Caenorhabditis elegans: one gene and its partners. The protein of the gene in region 4 purifies or fractionates together with the protein of the main gene of each other region. This does not show direct contact. Each region holds a gene or a part of one and is shown on either strand. Other genes may lie near its edges. The genes, in order: lys-1, trpp-10, fbxa-101 and Y37H2A.18.

Region 1 (5,782 bases), 7.9 Mb from region 4:
AAAATATCGGGGGAACATGCCCAACCATCTCATTTTGTAGAATTGCCGTTCGTCAATTGCCGCGCTGCCGTTCGGCAATTGCCGCCTGATCTTATATAAGATTATTTTACTAAATGATCAAGTGTTTCTAAAAAGTGGGTACAGAATGCCAAATTTTCAATTTTACTATGGGATAGAAAAAAAACATTCCGTACTTGATGAAAATTCTTCCACAGGGAGTTTTATACTAGCAATCTTAATGATGATTGTAGTTTCGGAAACTGCATAACTGGTGATTTTTTTTAGCTAATGAACTTATACATAGTGGGATAAGACAACTTTATTTAAAATATTAATGTTTTGGAACATGGATCAAAAATTAAGGCAAGTGGTACCGTTGCAAACTGAGCTTCAAATATAAAATTTGACATAATAGAATAAACATTATTTAGGATTATTTTTGATATATGTTCAGTGTATCGAAAATAAAATTTCCCCAGAGCCACTTGCTCCTTGTGCCGGTTAGTTGGCTGAAACTGAGAATCCCAATTCTAAAGTTCAAAATGTTCATTTTATCTATCTTCTTCTTCTGGCAAAATACATTTTCAGACGTTCTCTGTGCATACTCATGGAGAAGACATTTGCGGATTCTTTTCAGAACAAAAAATAAGAAGAGCAACAAAAAAGTAAAAGACGAATGGGACGATCAATGGAAAGAAAGAAGGAAAAGGAGAACTCGTAAAAAACGGGACGGGAAACCATCGGACACATAAAACACAGAGAAAAGGCGATGCTGAGAAGAGTTTTCGTGGAAGAAGAAAAAAGAAGACGAAGAAGAAAGAGAGCAACGGACAAAAACGGACGAATGCCCCGGAAATAATACACGAGTGCTCTGCGCCGGATGTCGACCGCTCGTTATTATGAATGCGTTTTTTCGCATCGTTGATGACATACCAACAGAGCAAAATAGGTGGACATGGGTTAAGAAAAGAGATGTACAGTTCATTAGGTTTTAATTGTTACGAAAGGGCATACATTTTCTGAAGCGACCTACAATACTAGAATTTTGAGCGTATAAAAGTCACAAAAGTCACTTAATCTCGCCTCGAACCGGCATGGTCACCTTCAATGTGAACCTTTATAGGTTTTTTGCGCATTCTGAAGGCTATAATACTGATTTCAAAAATATATGCACGTTATCATTTGTAAAAGATCGATTATTGAAACTCTCACCAAATCCATCTGCCTAGTAAGTGCAATTCATATATTTTCGAGTTTTGAGAATGCAGCTGGATTTTCATTTTGAGAGCACAAAATCCTAGGAAAGCGAATGAATGTTTGATCTCAGTATTTTTTGATTATTTTCTGTTGAGAGGTGTATTTGAAAGGGTTTAATGTTGTGCAATGTTTTTATAGCAGTTTATTTGTTTTTTAATGCCAATATTTGCTTTGTCTTCTGTAATTTATAAAACATCTATAAAAAATTGCTGATCCAGTTAAAAAGATCTTCATTATTCCTAAAACTGGGAAAAGTAAGGTACCGAAAATCTCTGATTCTTGATCTTCATTTCTAACTAGAAACCTCAAGATAGTCACCGATAAATATTCAAGTGAATTACGTTTTCTTCTTTTTTATCTAGGAATTCCCTCCGCTCAGCTATTTTAACCCTAACAGGCCACCTTACGTTTTTCTTCTTTTAATTTTCTTCGCAGGAAAACTCATTTGGATGCGAACGAGCTTCTATTTTTTCTGGGTTTGTCTTGTGATTGGCCAGGCACCGGAGCATAACTGACGAGATGTCGGTTCCAGAAAATAAGCGGAGAAAAGGAAAAAAAACGAAGAAAAGAATAGAAAAAAGGAAAGTTTGGTGAAGTGGCAAACGGGAAGAGTCCGTCAATTGTTGTCGAGAGGCGACCACATCCTTCTACTCTTCGTTTTCGAATTTTTGGAGCTTTTCGAATTGTGACAATGAAGGAATATGGATGGTGAAGAGCACAAGGGTGACCAAATATTTTATTGAAACGGAAAAAAATGGACAATGAATTTGGAATGTGGAAAAATTGGGCAATTGTTGAAGTTGTCACATGGGTTTTGATATTTGGAAGTGAAAGATCCTCTTCGTAGATTGCTAGACGTTAATCCGAAACCGACATTAAAGATGAAGCAGCCAGCCTGGAAATGATATTTCCATGAAGTAAAAGAAAGAAAATGAGAATATCTAATAAATAAAACACAAAGATCTATCGTTGTTTTTTATTCGGAATATCATGAAAAGATAAATCTAAACTTCAAATATAAATCAACCTTTGATTCTCAAATTGTCGGCAATATGGCTAACGTTGTCTGACCATGTATTGAAAATATGTAGTTCTTCGTCAACTCATGATAGAATGTTCGTCAAAACCAACAGAATAACATGTGAAAAGTGGGATGTAAATAAATTTAGTGACTCATCTAAGAAACTATCAGCAATAGCCGTTAGCGACTAGTGATATATGTCATAGCGTGCTAGTATTCTATTGACAGAATCGCATGAGTCATATTCACATTTGTAGAAGTATTTTATCAGAAACCTTCAGTTCCAACCGCTTTAAAATTCCCTGCCCAAATTGGTCGCGGAAAGAAATTTTGTTTTAAATGAAGAATGCTTCTTTTTTTGACTAATCGCATAACTAATTTTGGTAGAAATTATTTAAAAAGAGTACTTAATTTTATCATCAACTTTCCAGTTTCCAATTAATATAGTCTTGACATTTAATATTACTAACGCCCCCGAATGAATCTCTTTCACCCTACTCGTCACTTTTCTATCTCCACTGATTACCCTTATCACTGGACGTTTTCTTCTACTTAAACGAGCCGCCATCCATCACCGAATCATTAGATTTTCATTCTCTCAACCTTTTCGTTGGCACTTTTCTTCAAGTCAATATTATTTTCTGTTTTTTGTTTCAGAACCATGCTCAAGCTTGCTTTCGTTACTTTCCTTTTTGCTTTGGCTTCTGCTAGACCACAAGATGTCGACTCTAATAGAGTTGTAGCTCTTCCACAGGACAACTTCGAAGTGACTGATATTGGTTTCGAGAAGATCAAGGCCGAGCCAGCTCCGGAAGTTGTGAACAATGATGCTTCATATGCCTACGCAGTTGATATTTCTGTTCCAACAACAGTTTCTCAAATGAACTGCCTCAAGACATCCAGATATGCAGCTGTTTTCATCAGAGGTTTCACTCCATTTGGATCTGGAGCATTCGACACAACTTCAGTCACTTCTATCAGAAATGCTTATTCTGCTGGATTGGGAATTGAGGTCTACATGACTCCACAACCACTTTCTTCTCTTCAAGGATACCAACAACTTGATGCTCTTTATAACGGACTTAACGGAAATGGAATCACCATCAGATCTGTCTGGATTCAGGTTAGCTATATACAAGAAATATAAAAAACCTTGAACAATTAAAAGTTAAATTAGTTAAAATGTCATATGTGAAAAACTGGAAACAATGTACACTTAAACATTAAAATCTTCTTTCCGGAGATTATTTTTCAATTTTCAACTGATAAGAAATTTAATTCTCGACGATTATAGTCTATACACTTGAACTCTTTCAGGTTACCTCCCCAGCCAACTGGCAGAAGTCTGCAACTACTAATGTGAACTTCCTCAACAGCATTATTTCACGAGCCAAGCAATACGGACTGACTGTCGGAATCTACACCAACCAATACGACTGGAGCCAAATTACTGGAAACTGGGCAACTTTGAGCTCTGATGTTCTTCTCTGGTATTGGCATGTTCTTGGAGGTGGTGTTACTGGAGAGACTCCAGCTACTTTCGATGACTTCCGTGCATTCGGATCTTTCAAGAAGGCTTCTGTTAAGCAATTTGCTCAAGTTGAGTCTGTCTGCTCTTTGACCGTCAATCGTGATGTTTACGTTGTTGGAATCCCAGCTGCTGCTTCATCGAAAAACACTGATTTTTTCACTCAAGAGGACATCAGCAGCAACAACAAAAAGATTGTTGTTGGAGGAGTCATTGGAGTCTAAAATATTTATGTTGTGATCTCTTACCTATTTGTATTATTTCAATAAACAATCCTAGCTTTATTAAAATTTTATTTTAAAAAATACTGAAATATACCATATAACATACCAGATATATACCAGAAATTAAAATGAATGATCAGTAAAATTTTAATTGTGTCTTTTCGCATGACGATTTCACTTTATTTCTGAAGATTTTTGTGGAAATCGTTTCTATAAATATAATTTTGAAAAGTAAACATTTAAAAAGTTAAAATAGCCGTGGCATAAATGCTAATTGGCAGTGATTTCCTGTCCCTCACTAGGGAACGGTCAGAAGGTGCCCATCGGACTTGCATATGAGACCTATGCCATTCGATAGCCCATGTCTTAAAACAGTTACTCGTGAATTTTTAGCGGCAAAACTCCCGAACCAAGCTCACGGCGGGCTCTCAAAGATCTTAAAATAGCACTGTAAGGAAGAACTTTAACGATCTAACGAAGCAATTTTCCAATTTCACTTTGGTAGCTCATATCTCCGTAGATAAATTTTTTACAGAAAAGTCATCAACTGATAAGTTGTTGATTTTGTTGTAACAAACAAGTTTGTAATTAAAAGTTTTTTACCACAAAATTTTTGTTTGAGATAAAAGTGCGTGAAGTGCGGCAACTGGTGTTGTTATTTTTATGCTGCTATTCCGTTTCTAATGATTTTCTCGCAAACAAAAATTTTTTGGTAAAAAACTTTCAACTACAAACTTGTTCTTTACAACAATATCAACAACTTTTTAGTTGATGACTTTTCTGTAAAAAATTTATCTACGGAGATATGAGCTACCAAAGTGAAATTCGAAAATTGCTTCGTTAGATCGTTAAAGTTCTTCCTTACAGTGCTATTTTAAGATCTTTGAGAGCCCGCCGTGAGCTTGGTTCTGGAGTTTTGCCGCTAAAAATTCACGAGCAACCGTTTTAAGACATGCACTATCGAATGGCATTGGTCTCATATGCAAGTCCGATGGGCAGCTTCTGACGGTTCCCTAGTCAGCCGTGACTCCAGTTTATCTGAGAGGGTATAGGATAGAATATATTCAATATTACCCGCGTGGAAGGCTTGTTGAACTCAACGTAATTTGAAAAAAAGAAATCATTTGTTCAAAATAATTAAATCTGAAAATTAACATACGAAGATGTTTTTGCACTTTTTAAGTTGCATTGACACCTAACGATAATATGCATTTAATCGCTTTTTACGCATTAATATCAATGTGTTTAACTTTCGTGACTTTTAGACTTTTTCTCTCCTTCAAGAAAATTCTTCTGCCGGCAAAATGATAACAGATGATAACAATTTTATTTGGGAAGAGATCATAAAACCGATAATAAGTTTAATAAATTAGTTTCCGACAAATCCTCCGACAACAATCTTTTCACCATCTGCCATATTGACTTCAGTCTTTGGAGCAGCAGCTGGAATTCCAACAGCATACACGTCACGATTCACAACCAAATTACAAACTGTTTCAACTTGAGCATACTGCTTCACTGAAGCCTTCTTGAATGGGCCGAAAGCACGGAAATCAGCAAAAGTTGGCTTTGTCTCTCCAGAAGTACCACCTCCAAGAACATTCCAATACCAGAGCATGACATTAGAATTGATATTCGCCGAATTTCCAGTAATCTGGCTCCAGTCATATTGGTTTGTGTAAATTCCAACAGAGAGACCATATTGTTGAGCACGGGAAATTATGCTGTTGATAAAGTTGACGTTGGCAGTTG
Region 2 (7,050 bases), on a different chromosome or scaffold from region 4:
GCTGACACCGTACCCGGGATAGTCGTAGATCAAAAGATCACACTGAAGAAAGTCAGCGATATCCGCAAAGTTTGGATCCATCATCAAGCAGCAGCCAAGGTCCGAGGAGTTGGGTTGCGAGAAGATGATGAGGTTGGGGGAACGGAGTCTGGAAAAGAGAGGGTTTAGGCGAGGCGATGCAGGCATGCCTACGTGCCTGCCTGCCTAGGCAAAACTCACCTCTGCCGATTCTTATCCCGATGCAGCCATCGAATCGATTGCTCACAATACAGCTCCATCGCACAAATCTTGTGCTTCTCGTCGTATGGCAAAGTGAACACTTTACAGCGGAGCAGGTGATAGAATACGTCGATTGCTCGGACCTTCGGCTTGATCATTTGTGGAAGACTAATCGAAAGATGCTCGTAACCATCGGCCTCGCTGGCTTGGAAGCATGCTTTACGTTTTGTTCCTGGAAGAGTTCAATGTGTGCCTGCCTGCCTGCCTATATGCCGTCTAGGTCTGGAGGCCGTAGTCGGCAGAAAAGCGGCAAAAACTCGGCCACCATGTTCTTTGGAGTGCAAATTTTCAAGAAAACGCATAGAAAAACGAGCTTTCTTCTTATTATTTTTCTCGGAAAAGCAAAAAATTAAAAAAAAAACTAGAAAATTTCGCTTACCTTATGACTGCCTACGTGCCTACCTTATGCCTAGCTTTTCTCCAACTAAATGCCTATATACGTGCCTACATGCCTACACGCTTTTCTCATGTCTATCTATGTGTCTAAATGCCTAGCCTATGCCTACCTACGTGCCTACCTTATGCCTAGCTCATACTTGCCTTTGCTCCTACTTTATACCTGCCTACGCGCCTACGTGCCTACAAGCTTTTCTCATGCCTATATAGGTGTCTATATGCCTATATTTTGCCTACCTACGCGCCTACGTGCCTACACGCTTTTCTTATGCCTATCTATGTGTCTACGTGCCTAAGTGCCTACACGCTTTTCTCTTTCCTATCTATGTGCCTACATGCCTATCTTATGTCTACCTACGTGCCTACCTTGTGCCTAGCTCATACTTTCCTTTGATCCTACTTTATGCCTATCTATGTGCCTAATTGCCTACCTACGTGCCTACCTGCGTGCCTACGCGCCTACACGCTTTTCTCATGCCTATCTATGTTTATGCCTATATCATATTATATATGTAATATATCTTATGCCTACCTACGTGCCTACGTGCCTACACGCTTTTCTGCCTGCCTGCCTCCCTGCCTATCCAAATCCCCACAAACCTTTAGCCGCAATCAGGTAATAGTATCGTCCTTTCTGCGGACTACAAAACACAATTTTCCTGAACAACTTTGGCGGATACGGTGGCAGCAGGACGAAGAAGATCGACACAATGATCAGCAAAATTCTTGAAATGATCTTCCAAATCGAGAAGCTCTTCTGCATGACGTCACTCCACAATTTCGAATCGTGAGCCGGACACGCGACACGGTGTGCCACGTTTAGACATACGGCTGATTGCAGATTTGAGACGATTGTTGCGTAGTCTTCCGGTGCCAACGTGGCAGACATCTGAAAAAAAACTTGGAGCTTTTGGTATTTTTTCCCATATTTTTATTGCGTTTTTTTTGTGCAATTCAAAAAATTTTATGCAAGCCGCGCACGGGCACCTGGCCTTCCACATTGATTTTTTCGCGCTCCATTGACAATCGCCCGCCGGACAACGCGTGGGAAAGTCGTGTAGTCCACACGGACAAATACATTTAGTTTTACAACTAAAATCACCGATTTGTGGCTTCCCTCATAAGTTTAAATGGAAGAGTTTTTTGCCGAACTAGGCCATTTTGGCTCGGCCATATCTGGGGTAAATATACGACGCGTTGCGTGTTGCGTCGCGGCTCAATTTTAGTTGTAAAACTAAATGTATTTGTCCGTGTGGAGTACACAACTTTCCCACGCGTTGTCCTGTCAATGGAGCGCGAAACATTCAATGAGAAAGGCCAGAACCCCGTGTAAAACCGAGCCGCGACGCGACACGCAACGCGCCGTAAATTTACCCCGGTCGTGGCAGAGCCAAAATGGCCTAATTCGGCAAACTCTTACATTTCAAAAAAGAAGGCAAGCACCTGTGACCTGTTATACCAAGCTTTTTTCTAGGGTCTCGCAGCGATTCTCGAATAGGGCGCACTTGCAGATTTTTGAAAATTTAAAAATTCTGCAAGCGCGCCCTATTGAGAAAACTCGCCCAAACTCACCGTATTCTCCCCATTGGGACCAGTGGCGACGGATAGGTGAAGTTCTGTGCATAGACCGGCTGTTTTACGTTCTTTCCTGAAAATTTAGGCTTTTTTGGCCTGGAAGAGCTTTCTCTTCCTCGGCCCTCGCTCTGCAGAGAGCCCATGCCACCCACGGCCCATAACTCACTTGGCTCCGCGCTTGAAATTTCTCATCTTCGGATAAATCATTGTTTTGTTTTGTAATAAATCAGAAATAAACTGAAATTTATACTATTTAGTATATACTTTTAACGTGATTATTTGTTTTTTCGCTTTGACAAATTTTTTCTCAAAAAAAAAAACAACGTTAAAAATAGTTAAAATATAGTCTTTTATATCGAACATACTCAAAAAGTCGAAAATTTACTTGAGAATTCTATTAAAACGACATTCAGACAATATTTCCCAATTTGAATACCCGCCAATTGAGCGTGCGGAATAGCGGAGTGTCGTTGCGCGCCGTAAATCCACATTTCATTTTGTTTATTTATTTTTTCAATGAAAAAGCCTCAATTTTATTGATTTTTCCTAATTTTCAAGGCAATATGGATCGAGATTTGCTGGATATTAATGGATTATCGAAAAGTTTCCAGAAAAATTCAGTGATAATCTCTCGTGAGCCCGAAAAAGCCGGAAAAACCTGTTTTTTAATTAATATTTTTCCAGATGCCGGTGTAGATCAGTCGTTTTCTGTCTATCAGCATGCGTTGGTATCTTATTTTTCAAGAAATTCGCTGGTTTGGAAGATGTTAGAATTATTTAAATATTTAATACGAATTTTTCTAATTTTAAAATATATAAATTCCAGAAACAACAAACCCTTCCCGCACCGGCTGACATTTCCACTGAAATTCGTGTCTTACGAGGATAAACTGTGCTTTGGACCGCAAATTTCACCGACCGAGATCACGAAAATCGCGTTTTTACACGTTTTTAACATAAATGTCACCTCCGCCGACGATTATCGCGCAAATGTCCGGCATAATGTGTCGGATTGGTTCGCAAAAGTGATTTTTGATTTTTTTTTAAAGGATTTTAAAGGTGGAGTAGCGCTATTTAGTGTGGAAATTGCTATCATGATAATAAAATTCAAAAAAATTTTCTAAATTTTATATGATTTTTTGAAAATTGAAAAAATCTGAGTTTTTGCCTGATTTCTACTTGAATTACCGCCAATTGGGTTTGTTCGATGGAGCGCGCTTGCATGTTTTTAAATTTATTTATTTTATTTTTTGTTATTTTCCACCGATTTTTAATGTTTTCGGTGTATTTTTGCTTGAATTTTAGAGAAAAAGCCAAAATAAATGCAAATTTTCGATTAAAAAGCACGCTTACAGGCGTAAAAATGAAAAAGTAACGTTTTTAAACGATGTCGAACCTGAATTAATTAATTTCACTGATTTACGCCTGTCAGCGTGCTTTTTAATCAAAAATTTGCATTTATCTTGACTTTTTCTCTAAAATTCAAGCAAAAATACACCGAAAACATTAAAAATTGGTGGAAAATAACAAAAAATAAAATAAATAAATTTAAAAACGTGCAAGCGCGCTCCATCGAACAAGTCCAATTGGCGGTAATTCAAATAGGAATTAGGCAAAAACTGAGATTTTTTCAATTTAAAAAAAATCATAAAAATTTAGAAAATTTTTTTGAATTTTTTTATCATGATATTTGGTCATTTTGGTACCATAGGCATGTTTTAAAGCAATTTCCCCACTGGTGCTACTCCACATTTAAATGGAAAAAATGAAAATTTCATTGATTTTCATTGATTTTTCTTCCAGTTAAACTCAAAATCCGACGTTCAATGGATCATAGTGATAAATACGAATAGAGCCAAGGACAGGAAGACGAAAAATTCGATTGTCGAGAAAATTAAATCGGATTTCGCGAAATATCCTAATCGGCTATTCGATCTACCCGATACTAGTGATCAGGCGGCTTTTGTCACAGTTGTACAGGGAATTCAGCAATTTTTATTCCAACATTTGACGTTGGTCATGGAGATTTGGGATAAATCGCTGAAAAATCAATATGAACGCAAAAAACAGCACACTTGGGAGCCGTTTGCTTATTTTTCATCGATGGTGCGCGGCGATTTTCGTCTTTTTGAAGCGTTAAAAGCGGAAAAATTCGCATTTTTTCACATAAAAACGAGAAATTTTGGTTGAAAAAACCGAATTTTGTATTAAAAACCAACAATTTTTGATAAAAATGTGCATTTTTACCAAGAAATTGGAAAAATATTACTTTCTCGATTAATTTCGAGTGTTTTCTAACAATTTTACAGGAATTTCCAAGGAAAACGTATATTTTTGCTGAAAAAAACTTAAAAAATACAAATTTTCCTATAAATTTACCATTTTTCCAAAAATTTTTTTTAGAATTTATTTGAAACAAATTAATTTAAAATGCCAAAAAATGTAGAACTTTTTTTTGAATATAGGAAGAAAATTCACTATTTTTTGCTCAAAAAATCGAAAAAAAAAGCGGAAAACTATTAGAAAATTTCTAACAATTTTAAAGGAATTTTCAAGAAAAATTGATTTTTTTTTGTTGAAAAACTCAGAAAATTCCGGCTTTCAAAACGTTAAAAATCGATTAGAAGCTACTATTTTAGTTAAAAATCGGAAAAATTTGCCTTTTTTCACAAGAAAACCAAAAAAAATTTGGATGAAAAATGAAAAAAATTGAAAAAAAAACCGAATTTTGCAGTAAAAACCAAAAATCGTTGAATAAAATGTGCATTTTTAACAAGTAATTGGCACAATATTCTACATGAATTCCAGTATTAAAAAACACCACAAATTATTTTTTTACATCTGATTTAGAGTGTTTTCCTACTATTTTACAGGAATTTCCAAGAAAAACATATATTTTCACTGAAAAATTCAATTTTTTTACTGAAAAAACGGAAAAAATACAACTTTTCCTATAAATTTACCTTTTCTTTAATTTTTGAGTGAAAAAAATTCTATCATTTCTTTGAAACAAATTTATTTCTGAAAATTATTACAAAAAAATTGAAAATGACAAAATTTACTATTTTTTTCGCTTTAAAAAATCCTAAAAATCCAATAATTTTTTTTGTTAAAATTCAAATTCTGCTCATATACAGAAAATTCTGATTTTTTCCCAAAAAATTGAAAAATTTCTGACAATTTTAAAGGAATGTTCAAGAAAAACTGATATTTGGTTTAAAAAAATGTTTTAAAATATTCCAAAAAATTCCATTGTCGAAAAAAAAATCACTGTTACAAAAAAAAAAAACGACGATTTCGAATAAATTTAATTAAAAAAAAAATTTTTTTTTCGACAATGGAATTTTTTGGAACTTTTTAAAACATTTTTTTAAACCAAATATCAGTTTTTCTTGAACATTCCTTTAAAATTGTCAGAAATTTTTCGATTTTGTGGGAAAAAATCAGAATTTTCTGTATATGAGCAGAATTTGAATTTTAACAAAAAAATTATTGGATTTTTAGGATTTTTCAAAGCGAAAAAATAGTAAATTTTGTCATTTTAAATTTTTTTGTAATAATTTTCAGAAATTAATTTGTTTCAAAGAAATTATAGAATTTTTTCACTCAAAAATTAAAGAAAAGGTAAATTTATAAAAAAATGTTTATTTTTTACGTTTTTTTCAGTAAAAAAATTGAATTTTTCAGTGAAAATATACGTTTTTTTTTGAGAATTTTTTGAAAATTGCATTTTTAGACTCAAAACTATCTGAAAACACTGAATTTTCATAATGAAACTTCTTGAAAACTACTCAAAAAAGAGTTATGACGGCTCAATAAATGGCTTAAAATTAGTTAAAATTTGAAATTTAACCGACTTGTAAAGCGGCTGGAAACAATATTTTTTGAAATCACCGTCAAATTTTGAGTATATAATGCATTTATCTTGCGTTTTTAACTTCATTTAGGTATTATAAAGTCGATGGACGCTGAGATTTTTTAATTGTTTTTACCAAATCTTGCCGTCCACCGACTTTAAAATTATTAAATGAAGGTGAAAATGCGAGATAATTGAATTTTATACTCAAAATTTGACGGTGATTTAAAAAAAAATCAGTTTCCAGCCGCTTGACAAGTCGGTCAAATTTCAAATTTTAACTAATATTAGGCCACTCTTTGAGCCGTCATAACTTTTTTTTTTTTGAGAAGTTGAAATTTTCAAGAAGTTTCATTATGAAATTCGGTGTTTTCAGACAATTTTGAGTCAAAAAATGCAGTTAAAAATTCAACTACATCACCTTAAAGCGAAAAATGTTAATTTTTCAACGGAAAACTCTCACAGAAAATCACCAAAAATGTTTCCATATTTTTTTGCAGACAGAATACGCTCGCCTCTATTGGAGTTTTGGAGCAATTGAATACGCAATGTCAATATTCGATGATCTCGAAAAGTTGCTCCACGAGTTTGTGCTCCGTTCCGGAGAGCCTGAATCTCCGAAATGGCTCGCCCAACTGCTCAACACAAAAATCGACGATCGTCCCACGTTGATTTCCGGCGGCTTCTCAGTGCAACGAATCTCGAAATCAGAAGCTCATTATCTTGGAATGAGGAATTATTTGTTGTGTCAACAAATCATTATGTCCATTCATTTGTATCAACAAAAAATGAAATCAAATGATGCGGCGCCAAGTTTGAGATCAGATTGTGCTGTTGGAATTATGCAGAGAGCTTTAATTACTATTGAAGCTGTCAAAGAATTTAATAATTTGATGAATGTAAGACATTTTTGACTGAAAAATTGGAAAAATAATGATTTTTTG
Region 3 (5,939 bases), on a different chromosome or scaffold from region 4:
TCGAAAACTGGCGATACTTTTTTAAAAGAAAAACCTCAAAACTCGCAAAATTTCCAATTTTCATCCACTTTTTGTTACAGGCGACGAACAAAAAGTGCTCTACGCCAGGCTTCTTCCGGATATCACGTCGCGTCGAGTTCTACTGCTCTACCCAACGATAGGGTACGCTCAGAGACTACAAACTACAAAAAATATCTGGCCGAAATAAATTTGATTGAAAAATCTGAGAAAAAAAACACAAAATTTAATGTCAAAAAATCGATTTTCCCGGCGAAAAATCGTAAAATTCAATAATTTGTTTGACGTAGAAACTTTAAAAATGTCGATCACTAAAACTTCCCCAGAAGGCGAAAAATTGTCTAAAAAATTGAGTTTTTTTTTGTGCAAAAAAAATCTTTTTTTGAAATTTTTTTAACTGAAGAAACATTTAAATTTAAAAAATCACATTTTTATCAAAATTTCCAATTTTTCAGATCTGGGACGACAGTTTGCAAGGCAATTGAAGTCCTAAAAGAGGCACGTGTCCCAGATGAGAATATCTACTTGGTTTCCCTATTCATCTCACCGACTGGACTCAAGAATATAACCAGAAAGTACCCGTATATCACTGTCGTCGCCTCCGATATCACATCTCTCTATCCAAATCATTTCTCAACCAGCTATTTTGGTGCTGTCTAGACTAGTTTTGTGTAGTTTGTAGCCTTTTGACACTACAAACTACATCGTTTCCGTTTCAAATGCAGTATTTTTATTCACTTTTCTCACTTGATCATCTCTTCATTTCTCGTTATTGGTTTGTAGTTTGTAGTTATTGTAGTCTTCTTTTTTACTTTTTCACTGTTGATTTCCCCTATTTTTTTTTGACAAAATGTTCATTGAATTTCCGCATAACTAAATTCTTTTGTGTTGTTTTCGGTTCATTAAACATTATTTTAAGATGCAATGACTACGGTAGTCATTTTCTGAGTACATGGTGTGCGTACAGGGCGCTATATTTTACGCGCAAAGTTGAGAGTGAGATTTTTCCTCATTTTTTGGATTTTCACTGCAAATTTAAGAAATTTTACGAAAATAAACGTTTTATTTCAAATTCTATTTGCTACTTTGCATGCAAATTGTTTTTTTTTCATTATATTCTGAAAATAAAATAAGTTAAAATTAGCCGTTTCAAAAAAAGTTTCCGAAACTACGGTAGTTCTCGGAGTACGCAACTTGCGTACCGGGCATCTCATTTGACGCACAGAATTCCTAGTTTATTGTTTTTGGATTTTCAAAATTTCAAACATAGTTTTTGCATTTTTCCTGTCGTTTTTGTGATTTTTATTTGTGAAAATTTATTAGACAGAAAAGAAATTTTCAGTTTTCACGAAATTTACTGGAAAATTTGTTATTTTACCGTTAGGTAACGTATTTTACAAAGATATTTCACTTTATCCGTATTTTCTTATTGTTTTCTTCACTTCAAACGATTGAAAACTGAATCAATCAAATAAATTTCCTATTTTTCAGGTAATTTGTCAAAATGACTGGCTCATCTCGTGGAATTGTCGAAATGACAAAGAAACTGGATCGATTAAATTGTTAGTGTTAAAATGAAATTTGCATCGGATTCAGTTTAAAATTTGCTTATTTTCAGATCGAAGAAAAGACCACTTACGCTTTTAAGCATGCCAGTTGATGTTATGGAGAAAGTTATGAAGAAAGTGGATCCATACGATTGGTATCAAATTTTGAATGTTAGGCAAATGTTAAAAAAAAACCAAATGAGTTTCAGGATTTCCGTCCGCAATTCCAATCGAAATCTTCGAGATTTCGTCGACAGCCAGCACCTCAAATTGGACATTGATGTTTCTATTGAGGGCACTTTTCACACCATTGATATCAATGGAAATCAATCCTTCGGACCTTTCCATCCGGTCGTGGCTGATGATGAAAGAAGAACCATCTACAATAAAAGACTACAGTTTGCTCTCAGAAAATTGTTCGTGGTTATGAAGCTTCCAAGTGCCCAAATTGAAGAGTTCAAACTGGATTTTGACTTTATGGGAAGAGGAAGTGACGAATTTGAAGATATCTACGATATTGGTTCCAGAAGAGTTAGTTTTAAAAATAAACTGTTGAGTGCAAGCCTGAGAACAATCGATAAGGAGTTTGGAGAGTTTCACTGTTTCCAAGCGAAATCAGTTTCTCTGAGTGGACTAAAGGAACCTCGAACTGTGCTCATTCTCAAATCTTTCAAGTCTGGAACTCTCGAGAACATTGAAATCATTAATTCCTACAAGTTCTACTTCAGTTGGCAGCTGACGCTTTCGGAGCAGTGGAAGAATGCGAAAAAACTGAAAACTGGACTTTCCACTGATCGCTACACCGGAATTCGAGTTGCTGAACTGTTCGCATTTTCAAATATCGAATTCACAACTGTAGTATTGTCATCTGATTTGAAAGTGGTATAGAAATTCTTAATTATTGATTAATTAATTTTAGATTTTTTTTCAGTTGGTTGATTCGTCTGCAAAGCTGGAAACTTGTCTCAGCAGGAACACGTATGACAGCGAGGATGACAGCGATGAAGATAGTGATGAAGACAGCGATGATGAGGACAATAGTGGAGTGTTAACGGTGTCAAAAGAAGTGCTCAAAGTGTTCGATCCGAACTTTGTTGGCTATAACGGAACAATCAATTACAAAGCAAATGGATTCGAATATCTCATTGAAGTCACTGAATTCGAAACTAAAATTGTGAAGAAAATCGAATAATCTTCTCATTTTTCAAAATTTGCTTTTGTTTTACTAGTCACATGAATTCTTATTTTGTTACTTTTTTTGTTTTGAAACTGATTAAACCAATAATTTGGGTTACGGCTGAATGTTACCTTCCGTTTAATATTTTGTAATCTTCCCAGTTTTTCTATATTTTAAAAGGAATTCTCGAATAGTTAACAAAGATCCTTTTCCAAACTACGGTAACTCTCAGAGTACGCAGTATGCGTACCGGGCATCTCATTTGACGCACAAAAATTCTAAATTTTTTTTTGAATTTTCAAATGTGGTTTATGCGTTTTTCTAACCAATTTTTTGTGATTTTTCCCCTGAAAATGATTTAAAATAAGTAAAATAACCTGTTTTTGTAAAAATTAATTTCGTTTTTACACATTGAACGTGATTTTCTATATTTACTCAAATTAATTTTTTTCAGGTAATTCGTCGACATGACTAGCCAAAGAGCAGAAATTGGTGAAACGACGGACAAGCAGAATTCCATGAAATTGTTAGTTATTTAGGCTACAATAATTTCAAATAACTTTTTTAAAACACATTTTCAGATCGAAGACAAGCTCGCCGACGCTTTTTGACTTGCCTCTGAATATTATGAAGAAAATTGTGAAGAAACTGCATCCATACGATTGGTAAGATCAAATAAATAAAAATTATATTTTTAGAAAGTATAATAAAAATATTTTCAGGATTTCCGTTCGCAATTCCAATGGAAATCTTCGAAGCTTCATCGACACCTTGAAACTGGATTTGGACATTGATATTTTTATTGAGGGCCATAGGTACACCATTGTTCTCAATGGAAAATCATTTCGTTATCGGTATAGATTTGTGCCTTATGATGAAATAAGCAACGCTCGCAATGAACCTTTCCATCCGGTCGTGGCTGATGATGAAAGAAGAACCATCTACAATAAAGGACTACAGTTTGCTCTCAGAAAATTGTTCAATGTCATGAAGCTTCCAAAAGCTCAGATTGAGAAGTTCAGTCTAGATTTCGACTCAATTGGAGGATATGAAGACTATGTCCACAATGAACGGTTGAGGTCAAGCCTGAGAACAATCGATATGGAGTTTGGAGATGCTCACTGTTTCCGAGCGAAATCAGTTTCTCTGAGTGGATTCAAGAAACCACGAGCTGCGCTAATTCTCAGTTCTTTCGATGCTGGAACACTTGTGAAATTTGAGATTATGCGTTGCATCTTCAACGATATTCGTCCACTAACTTGCTTGGAACAGTTTAAAAATGCAAAACAATTGCGAACTGATCTTAACATTTGCTCCGTCTTTGGATTTACTGTGTCGGATCTTCTTGGATTTTCAAGTATTGAATTCACCAGTCCAGAGGTATCGCCAAATGATCTGAAAGAGGTATAGCAATAATCAATTTTTAGTTGATTTAATTAAAATTCTTTCAGTTGGTAAATTCGTCTACAAAGCTGGAAACTTGTGTCGTCAGCAAGCAATTAGATGATAGTGAATCAATTGCAGAAGAAATGCTCCAAGAGTTTGATCCTACCTTCGCTGGCAAAACCGGAACCATCAATTACAAGGCAAATGGATTTGAATATGTCATTGAAGTCACTGAAGAGCGAGTGAAAATTGAGAAGAAACTCGGCTGATTATTTAATTTTAATTTTTGTTTTTTGGTTTTTCAAAAATTGTTGTTTAATTTATTGTTGTTCATCTCGTTCTCATGAATTTGCTTTTGTCATTTTTCTTTGATCAACACTGGAAGGCTAATAGACTACAAACTAGACATTTTATAAGCCTAAGCCAAGAAAGTACATTGAAAAAACGTCGCTTCCGGTAAAGAAAATAAATCAACCGAAAGCGAAACTTGACTTTTTTTTGAAAATTATTTATGGAAAGTTCATGTTTTTAGTCGTTTTAGTGAAAAAATTTAAAAAAAAAAATTAAAAAAAAAAAAAAAATCAAGTGCTTAAATAAATTATATATTTTTGAAAAGAAAAATGAATTTATTCCTGCTCTAAGCTACAAATTTGTCATATTTTGAACCTTTCTTCTAGAAATTTTAGCTGAAAGTGAAGAATATACTAGCAAAAATTGTAAATTAATTTTTTAAAAACGTTTTTAGAAATTTTAAATTTTTTCACAAAAAAAAAATTTCCCAAAGTGTTTTTTCAAAATTCAAATTTTAATTTTATTACAAGCCCAAAACGTGTAACGAGTTCTATAACAATGATCTGGACCGCAAAATATGTCATTTTTGCAGCTATTTACACATCCCTTCGATGCACCATGGGGGCTCATTGCTCCAGTCATTGGCTATTTGGATACTATTAATAATAATACAAATACATGTTTTTCGCTGTAAATTATTGATTCCCGCTACTATATAATCATATTATTCAAGTTTTGAGAGAGTTTCAAAATTTGAAAAAAAATATTTTGTTTTGGAAATTTTTTAAGTGTTTGAAAATTGAAACTATGAGGTATAATTCGAATTATTTGATGTATTTTTGCTTGGTTTTAGGTGAGTTAGTGTAGAAAAAGAGTCTGAAAAATTTAAAATTTAAACAAAAGTTTTCCAGAATTTCCAAAATTTTCAAAGTAATATCTATAATTTTTTGACAGCATTTCATCTAAAACAATTTTTTGAATTCTCTTTAAAACCTCCAACTGACGCACTTTTGAACATCGTAACGTCATGTATCCAAACGTGCGCCAGCACCCAACTTCGCTGGCGCAATTCTCGATATTTCCAGGAATATTTGCCAATATCTATGTTATAATCAAAATAACTCTGGGATCCAGTCATATTTTAGAATATTTTCAAAAAAATTCAAATTTATCGCCAAAATGTGAGATCAATGTGAACAACTTGCTAAGTTTTATTGAAAATCGACATTTTTTGGATTTGGAGCAAAAAGTGAGAATTTTAAAATGGAATTGAAAAAAAAAACTTTTATTTCAGAATTCACAAAAGTCCCAGCCAAACTATGAAAAAACCTTGCAACTTATGCTTTTCGCCTTCCCTTCTGGTGGACTAGGTGAGTATCAGGAAATGCGTCAGGGCACTAGAAAAGCGCCAGCAAGCTTTTTTCATTTTTAGGAAACAAGCTTTTCGAGATAATTTCCCTGCATGGAATTGCTACCTCATTGCAACGAAAAGCAGTGATAAATGCTACAAATCCCAGTTT
Region 4 (6,085 bases):
AATGTTAACGTATAATATTGCACCTATTTTTATTTGTTTTATTGTTTTTAACAATACCTTACATTTAATAAAAATATTTCATCACTTTATTGCAAAATTTCAAAAATCCAACAAAAAAAACAGAACAATAATCAATCAGAGTCAGTAAAATTATTGAGATGATCCAAAAAATCGAAACTCGGAACCCTGGCGACATCGAATCTGTCCGAAGTGATCAAGATAGCATACTTGAAGCCATGGGTTTCGAACCAAATTCCAGGAGGAAGTGGCTCATACCATTTCGGTTCAAATACTCTCAGAATTTCCATAGGATCAGGCATTTCCACAAAGATCGTCGCCGTCTGGAAGCCGGGCTATTTCATGAGAACCTGGAAAATTAATTATTTGAAAATAAAACCAAATTTTTGTTGTTAAAACGAACATTTTTAATTTTCTCGCGTCTTGTTTTGTGAATTCTTCCACCGAAGTAGTAAAGTGTTCCAAGTGGAAAAACTTCCCAAGTTTCGTGTCTTTCGACATTTTCCACTCTTGATCTTCCCAAAAGAATCGCTTGGCAAGTTTAAACTGCTTCGTCTTGAGAATCTCATGACACGACGAGACATAGGAATGCGGAACGAATTGAATTTCCTCGAGTTTTCCCGGCTTCAAATACGGAAGAACGTGATGATTAGTGGAGCCGAAGGGATCACGGAGGATTACAGTGTTAACATCAACGGATTTCAGCTTTTTCAGCATTTTTTTAACGAGTTCCATATTCTCTTCGCGGAGGTATTTGTAGAATGTGACGTCGAGAGTTTCAAGTGAGAATTTCGGATTTTTCATGATTCGGTACAGATCGGAGAGACCAGCTGTAACATTACAACCGCTTTCCACATTGACTTTTTGTTCCCCGTATGCAATAATGAATCTTTCATCCTCGGGTTCCTCACGGCGGTACCGAACGCTGTTCTCATCATCGTCGAAATTCATGATAAAGTATAAATTGGCAATGTCCAAGTCGATTTTTTTGAATCCGGGAGCTCGGCTGTCGATGACGTCACGGAAACGACGAGACACTTTTCGAATTGGGAATCTGGAAAAAATCTATAACAAATTTAAAGGAAAACCCCATTTTTTGCAGGAAATTTTACAGTTTTTTGTGAAATTTCCAGTGTTTTTGATTTGGAAAACTGAAAAAATTTTGAAATTGCTCTAATTTTCACTTTAAGCGGAAAATTAATTTTTATTTGAAAAAAAAAGTAAATTTTGATTTATTTTCCAAAATATTCGCATTTTTTGGCCGCTGCTAATTTTTGGGTAATTAATTTCCACTAACAGCTCGATTGGCTTCACGTAGTTGAAAATTTCATTGAGCATATCGTCCGGAAGCTCCATAAGTTAAAGACTTTTCGGGTTGAATCTGAAATATTTTAAATTATTTAATTTATGTTGTTTTTTTTTTCAAATTTCCTCTAAATACCTTAATTCACTGCCCAATTGATAGAAGAAAAACTCAAATTCACGATATTCCATTGCATTTTCTCCGAAAACATCGCAGAAAATGTCAAAAGCGTGTGAAATTTCGGTTTTCTGGAGGATTTCGTACAGAATACAAGCCCGCTGGGCATTTTTATCCTGGCGGAGCATAAGGAGATTCGCATTTTCGTCAGGATCTGTCATTTTTGCTGAAAAAAGCATATTTTTGGCTATTTTTACTTTAATATTATTCAAAAAAAGCTATTCAAAATGTTGCGCGTCAAGTTGAATGTCGAGTACGCAACCACCTTGCGTATTTCGAAATCTACAGTACTTCGGAAGAAAAATGTTTGTCTCAAATTTGTTGCGCTGAATTTGTTTAATTTTCTTTCAAAATAAATCAATTTTCGTCTTGAAAAAACTCAAAAATCTTAATTTTCAGCAGAAATGACAGATCCCGACGATAATGCGAATCTCCTCACTCTCCGCCAGGATAAAAATGCCCAACAGGCATGTATTCTGTACCAAATCCTCCAGAAAACCGAAATTTTCGACGCTTTCAACATTTTCTGCGATGTTTTCAGAGAAAATTCAATGGAATACCGGGAATTTGAGTTTTTCTTCTATCAATTGGGAAAGGAAAATGCCGAATTGGGCAGTGAATTGAGGTATTTTGAAGAAATTTTAAAAAAACATAAATTAAATAATTTAAAATATTTCAGATTCAATCCGAAAAGTCGTCAACTTTTGGAGCTGCCTGACGATATGCTCAACAAAATTTTCGACTGCGTGAAGCCAATCGAGCTGTTAGTAATTAATAATTGCCAAAAATTGGCAGAAAATATTGAATTTTCTCAAAAATTTAACGTTGTTCAAGTGTAAATCGAAGAAATTTCCGCTGAAAAAAAAAGAAAACGAGGATTTGTAATTTTCAGGAGAAAATACATTGATTTTTGTCAAACACTATTAAAAAAACGATTTGAACGTACTTTAAACTACACGGGTTTTCTTTTAAATATCACATTTTTTTCCAGATTCCCAATTCGAAAAGTGTCTCGTCGTTTCCGTGACGTCATCGACAGACGGGCTCCCAGATTCAAGCAAATCGAACTGAACATTGCCAATTTTTGTCTTAGTATGAATTTTGATGACGATGATGAAGACGTTCAATACTCTCGAGATGAGGATGAAGACGAGGAGGGATTTACTATTGAGTATAAGGAACATGAAACCCACGTGGCAAAAGGATCCGTCGTAGAAGCTGGTCTGTCGGATCTGTACCGAATCATGAAAAATCCGAAATTCTCGCTTGAAACTCTCGATGTCACATTTTGCGAATATCTCAGAGGAGAGAACATGGAACTCGTCGAGAATATGATGAAAAAGCTGAAATCCATTCAAGTGAAGGTGGTTATTCTCCGCGACGCATACAGTGACACTATTGATCACGTTCTTCCGTATTTAGAGCCGGGAAAACTCGAGGATATTCATTTTGAGGCACATTCTTGGCTTGCCAAGTGTGACAGGGTTATCAAGACTGAGCAGTTTAAACTTGCGAAGCGATTCTTTATGGATGGGGGGGGGGGGGGGGTATTTTGGAAAAAATTGACAAAAAAAAACATATAAATTAAATAATTTAAAATATTTCAGATTCAATCCGAAAAGTCGTCAACTTTTGGAGCTGCCTGACGATATGCTCAACAAAATTTTCGACCGTGTGATGCCAATCGAGCTGTTAGTGAATACTAAATGTTCCTAATGACTAAAAATAGAAAGAATAACAGAGAATATAAAATATATCGATTTACGCAGATCGTGAATTAATTTTCTGCGAAAACGCAAATTTAACTTTTGTGTTCAAGGGAAAATCAAGAAAATTTTCGCTAAAATGTAAGAAAACGAGAATTTATAGTAGTTTTCCAGAAGAAAGCACATTGATTTTTATCTGAAACACAGTTCACGATTTTCTGGCAAAAGAAAATAGGGATTTCCCACGTGGTGCCAGGCTGTCTCATCACGGTTTGATCTACAAAAAATGCGGGAATTTTTTGCCCAAAAATATGTGACGTCAGCACGTTCTTAACTATGCAACATCAGTTGAGAACTCTGCGTCTCCTCTCCCGCATTTTTTGTAGATCAACATAGATCAAGCTGAAATGAGACATTCTGACACCACGTGATTTCCTTAAAATGTGATATCGACATTTTTTTCAGATTCCCAATTCGAAACGTGTCTCATCGCTTCCGTGACATCATCGACAGCCGGGCCCTCGCATTCAAGAAGATTAGCTTTTACATTGGCAATTGGTCCTTTTTCATAAATTTTAATGATGTTGATGAGAACAGCGTTGAATACGTCCAATATTCGGATCAAGAGGACGACTTCACACTTAACTATAATGACAAGGAAATCCACGTGTCAAAAGGATGCCCATTGAAAGCTGGTCTCTCCGACTTGTGCCAAATCATGCAAAATCCGAAATTCTCGCTTGAAGTTCTCGATGTCACTTTCTACAATATGCTCCGCGACGACGAGTACACGGAACTCGTTGAGAATTGTCTGAAAAAGCTGAAACCCATTCGAGTGACTGCGGTTGTGCTTAACGATGCCTACGGTGATACTAGTGATCACGTTCTTCCGTACTTGGAACCGGGATACCTCGAGGAAATTCGTATTCGTACATTTTCTTCGTTTAAAAATGTTCGTTTTAACTAAAAATGGGGGAAATTCGTATTCGTACATTTTCTTCGTTTAAAAATGTTCGTTTTAACTAAAAATGCATCTTTTTATTGCCTGAAAACACCGAATTTCATCGCAAAACTTCTTGAAAACGTCTCAAAAAATGACCTAAACTTAGTCAAAATTTGAAATTTGCCCGACTTGTCCAGCGACTGGAAACTATCTTTTTTTTGAAATCACTGTCTAATTTTGGGTATACAACAGGGGTGTTGGAGGATACTTTTTCGGATAGTTTCTAATAATGAATATATTAATAAGTATTGGATAGCCATACAACTAAAAAAAATATAACTATTAAAAAAATAATTAATTTTCCAGATTCTCATGAAAAAGCCCAGCTTTAAAGGTGCTGAAATCTTTGTTGGAAATCCTGATTTCATGGAAATTCTGAAAGTATTCTACCCAAAATACTCTGAACCACTTCCTGCTGGAGTTCGCTTCGAGACCCAAGGTTTCAAGTTTGTTATCGGCTTCTATTTGGACAGTGTCAATCATATCATCTATATCACCAAGGTTTAGAATTTAGACGCTGAGTCTGATTGAATATTGTTCTGTTTTCTGTTGATTTTTGAAAATTTCCGTTTTTTTTTGTAGTTTTTTCCCTTTTTTTTGTTAATAAAACTGTTGTTTTTCGTTGAAAATGTAGACTTTTTCGGATTTTTATCCAAATTTCATGATTTCGAGTTAAAACTCGCGTTTTTTTTGCTCAAAATCGACAAAAATCAGGAATTTTATGATTAAAAACACTAAAGCACTACAAACTACAATTTGGAAGTGTTAAACAGCAATATTTTTTATAATTTTGAGCTATATTTCAGTTTCAAAATCGTAATTCTCGTGATTTTTCGCTTGAAATTGGGAAAAATCGATATTTTATGAGGAAAATTTTTCGTGTGGGGTACTGTAGTTGAAGAAGTACGCAATGCGCATTGCGTACCCGGCGCGTTATTTGACGAGCAATTTTTTCTCAGTTTTATTGATTTTTCCAGCTTTTTCTGGATTTAAATCGATTTTTCGGATGAATATGATTGAATTATCACAAAATAAAGGCTAAAATTTCAGAAAATTGCAAGAAAATGGAAGTAGAAGGCATTCTAGAAGGCGAAATCCCGGATTCTGCGAAAAAGTTAGCTTATACAATTTATATTTGTTTTTAATTTGCTTTTTTACAATAAAATTAAATATAATATTTCAGAGATCTCCTTCGAAACGACAAAAATGCTCTCCGAGCATGCATTCTCTACGAGTTTCTTCAAAAAAAGCCAGTTTTCGAAGCATATAAGAATTTCTGCAAAACAATTGGCGACGATCTTATGGAATATCGGGAATTCGATTTTTGGTTCTATAAAATTGGAAAAGAAAATGCGGATTTGAGCGGAAAACTGATGTAAATTGATTAAAAATTGCGATTTTTGACAAAAAATGTATTTTTCAGCTGGAACCCGGATAGTCTGACACTTTCGAATATGCCGCTTAAAGTTGTTGACACGATTTTGGAGAATGTGGAGCCAATTGATAGGTAGAGTTTTGATAAAATTTAGAAAATTTACAATTTTCATTAAAATTTAAAAAAAATTCGGTAAAACTTCAAAATTGGCCGAAAAATCGATAATTTCCCGTTTACCTGTGATTTTTTACAAAAAAATGTCAGAAATATTGATGGCGAGGAGATTTTTTGAACTAAAAAATCGCGAAAAATCCAGTTTTTTCTAAATTCTCTCCAATAAAATAATATGAGAACTGCGACCAATCAGCGATTCGCTCCGCCCACTTTTAAACCAATCAGGTGCCGTGGGCGGAGTTTGAAATCGCTGATCGATTTTTCACCAATGTAATCAATTTTTCCGAAAATTTATCAATTTTTCTGGAAATTCATTGAATTTTCTGAAA

The links.
Region 1: the proteins of Y37H2A.18 (region 4) and lys-1 fractionate together in Caenorhabditis elegans (co-fractionation; one large-scale study listed by BioGRID). This does not show direct contact.
Region 2: the proteins of Y37H2A.18 (region 4) and trpp-10 fractionate together in Caenorhabditis elegans (co-fractionation; one large-scale study listed by BioGRID). This does not show direct contact.
Region 3: the proteins of Y37H2A.18 (region 4) and fbxa-101 fractionate together in Caenorhabditis elegans (co-fractionation; one large-scale study listed by BioGRID). This does not show direct contact.

What each region holds. Positions count from the first base shown.
Region 1 is NC_003283.11:10,274,969-10,280,750, forward strand, and holds lys-1 (Lysozyme-like protein 1), read left to right. Parts: upstream 1-2,935; 5' UTR 2,936-2,939; coding exon 2,940-3,401; intron 3,402-3,595; coding exon 3,596-4,030; 3' UTR 4,031-4,088; downstream 4,089-5,782. Other genes in the region: Y22F5A.11 (uncharacterized protein), read right to left, coding at 434-530, 581-609; lys-2 (Lysozyme-like protein 2), read right to left, coding at 5,400-5,782.
Region 2 is NC_003279.8:1,892,422-1,899,471, forward strand, and holds the start of trpp-10 (Trafficking protein particle complex subunit TRAPPC10/Trs130 N-terminal domain-containing protein), read left to right. Parts: upstream 1-2,754; 5' UTR 2,755-2,813; coding exon 2,814-2,883; intron 2,884-2,932; exon of another isoform or gene 2,933-2,934; coding exon 2,935-3,016; intron 3,017-3,076; coding exon 3,077-3,275; intron 3,276-4,053; coding exon 4,054-4,356; intron 4,357-6,606; coding exon 6,607-7,005; intron 7,006-7,050. Other genes in the region: Y71G12A.4 (AB hydrolase-1 domain-containing protein), read right to left, coding at 1-148, 220-451, 1,276-1,564, 2,248-2,323, 2,417-2,457.
Region 3 is NC_003279.8:12,957,190-12,963,128, reverse strand, and holds fbxa-101 (DUF38 domain-containing protein), read left to right. Parts: upstream 1-3,196; 5' UTR 3,197-3,209; coding exon 3,210-3,268; intron 3,269-3,323; coding exon 3,324-3,407; intron 3,408-3,464; coding exon 3,465-4,146; intron 4,147-4,193; coding exon 4,194-4,397; 3' UTR 4,398-4,489; downstream 4,490-5,939. Other genes in the region: C47B2.2 (Phosphoribosyltransferase domain-containing protein), read left to right, coding at 81-162, 474-678; fbxa-140 (F-box domain-containing protein), read left to right, coding at 1,668-1,720, 1,775-2,447, 2,497-2,757; F08A8.5 (Galactoside 2-alpha-L-fucosyltransferase), read left to right, coding at 5,227-5,272, 5,505-5,668, 5,714-5,789, 5,852-5,939.
Region 4 is NC_003283.11:18,130,296-18,136,380, reverse strand, and holds Y37H2A.18 (F-box domain-containing protein), read left to right. Parts: upstream 1-3,103; 5' UTR 3,104-3,148; coding exon 3,149-3,189; intron 3,190-3,669; coding exon 3,670-4,156; intron 4,157-4,513; coding exon 4,514-4,714; 3' UTR 4,715-4,762; downstream 4,763-6,085. Other genes in the region: Y37H2A.7 (F-box domain-containing protein), read left to right, coding at 1,903-2,123, 2,178-2,261, 2,490-3,081; Y37H2A.12 (F-box domain-containing protein), read left to right, coding at 5,272-5,321, 5,391-5,582, 5,631-5,714.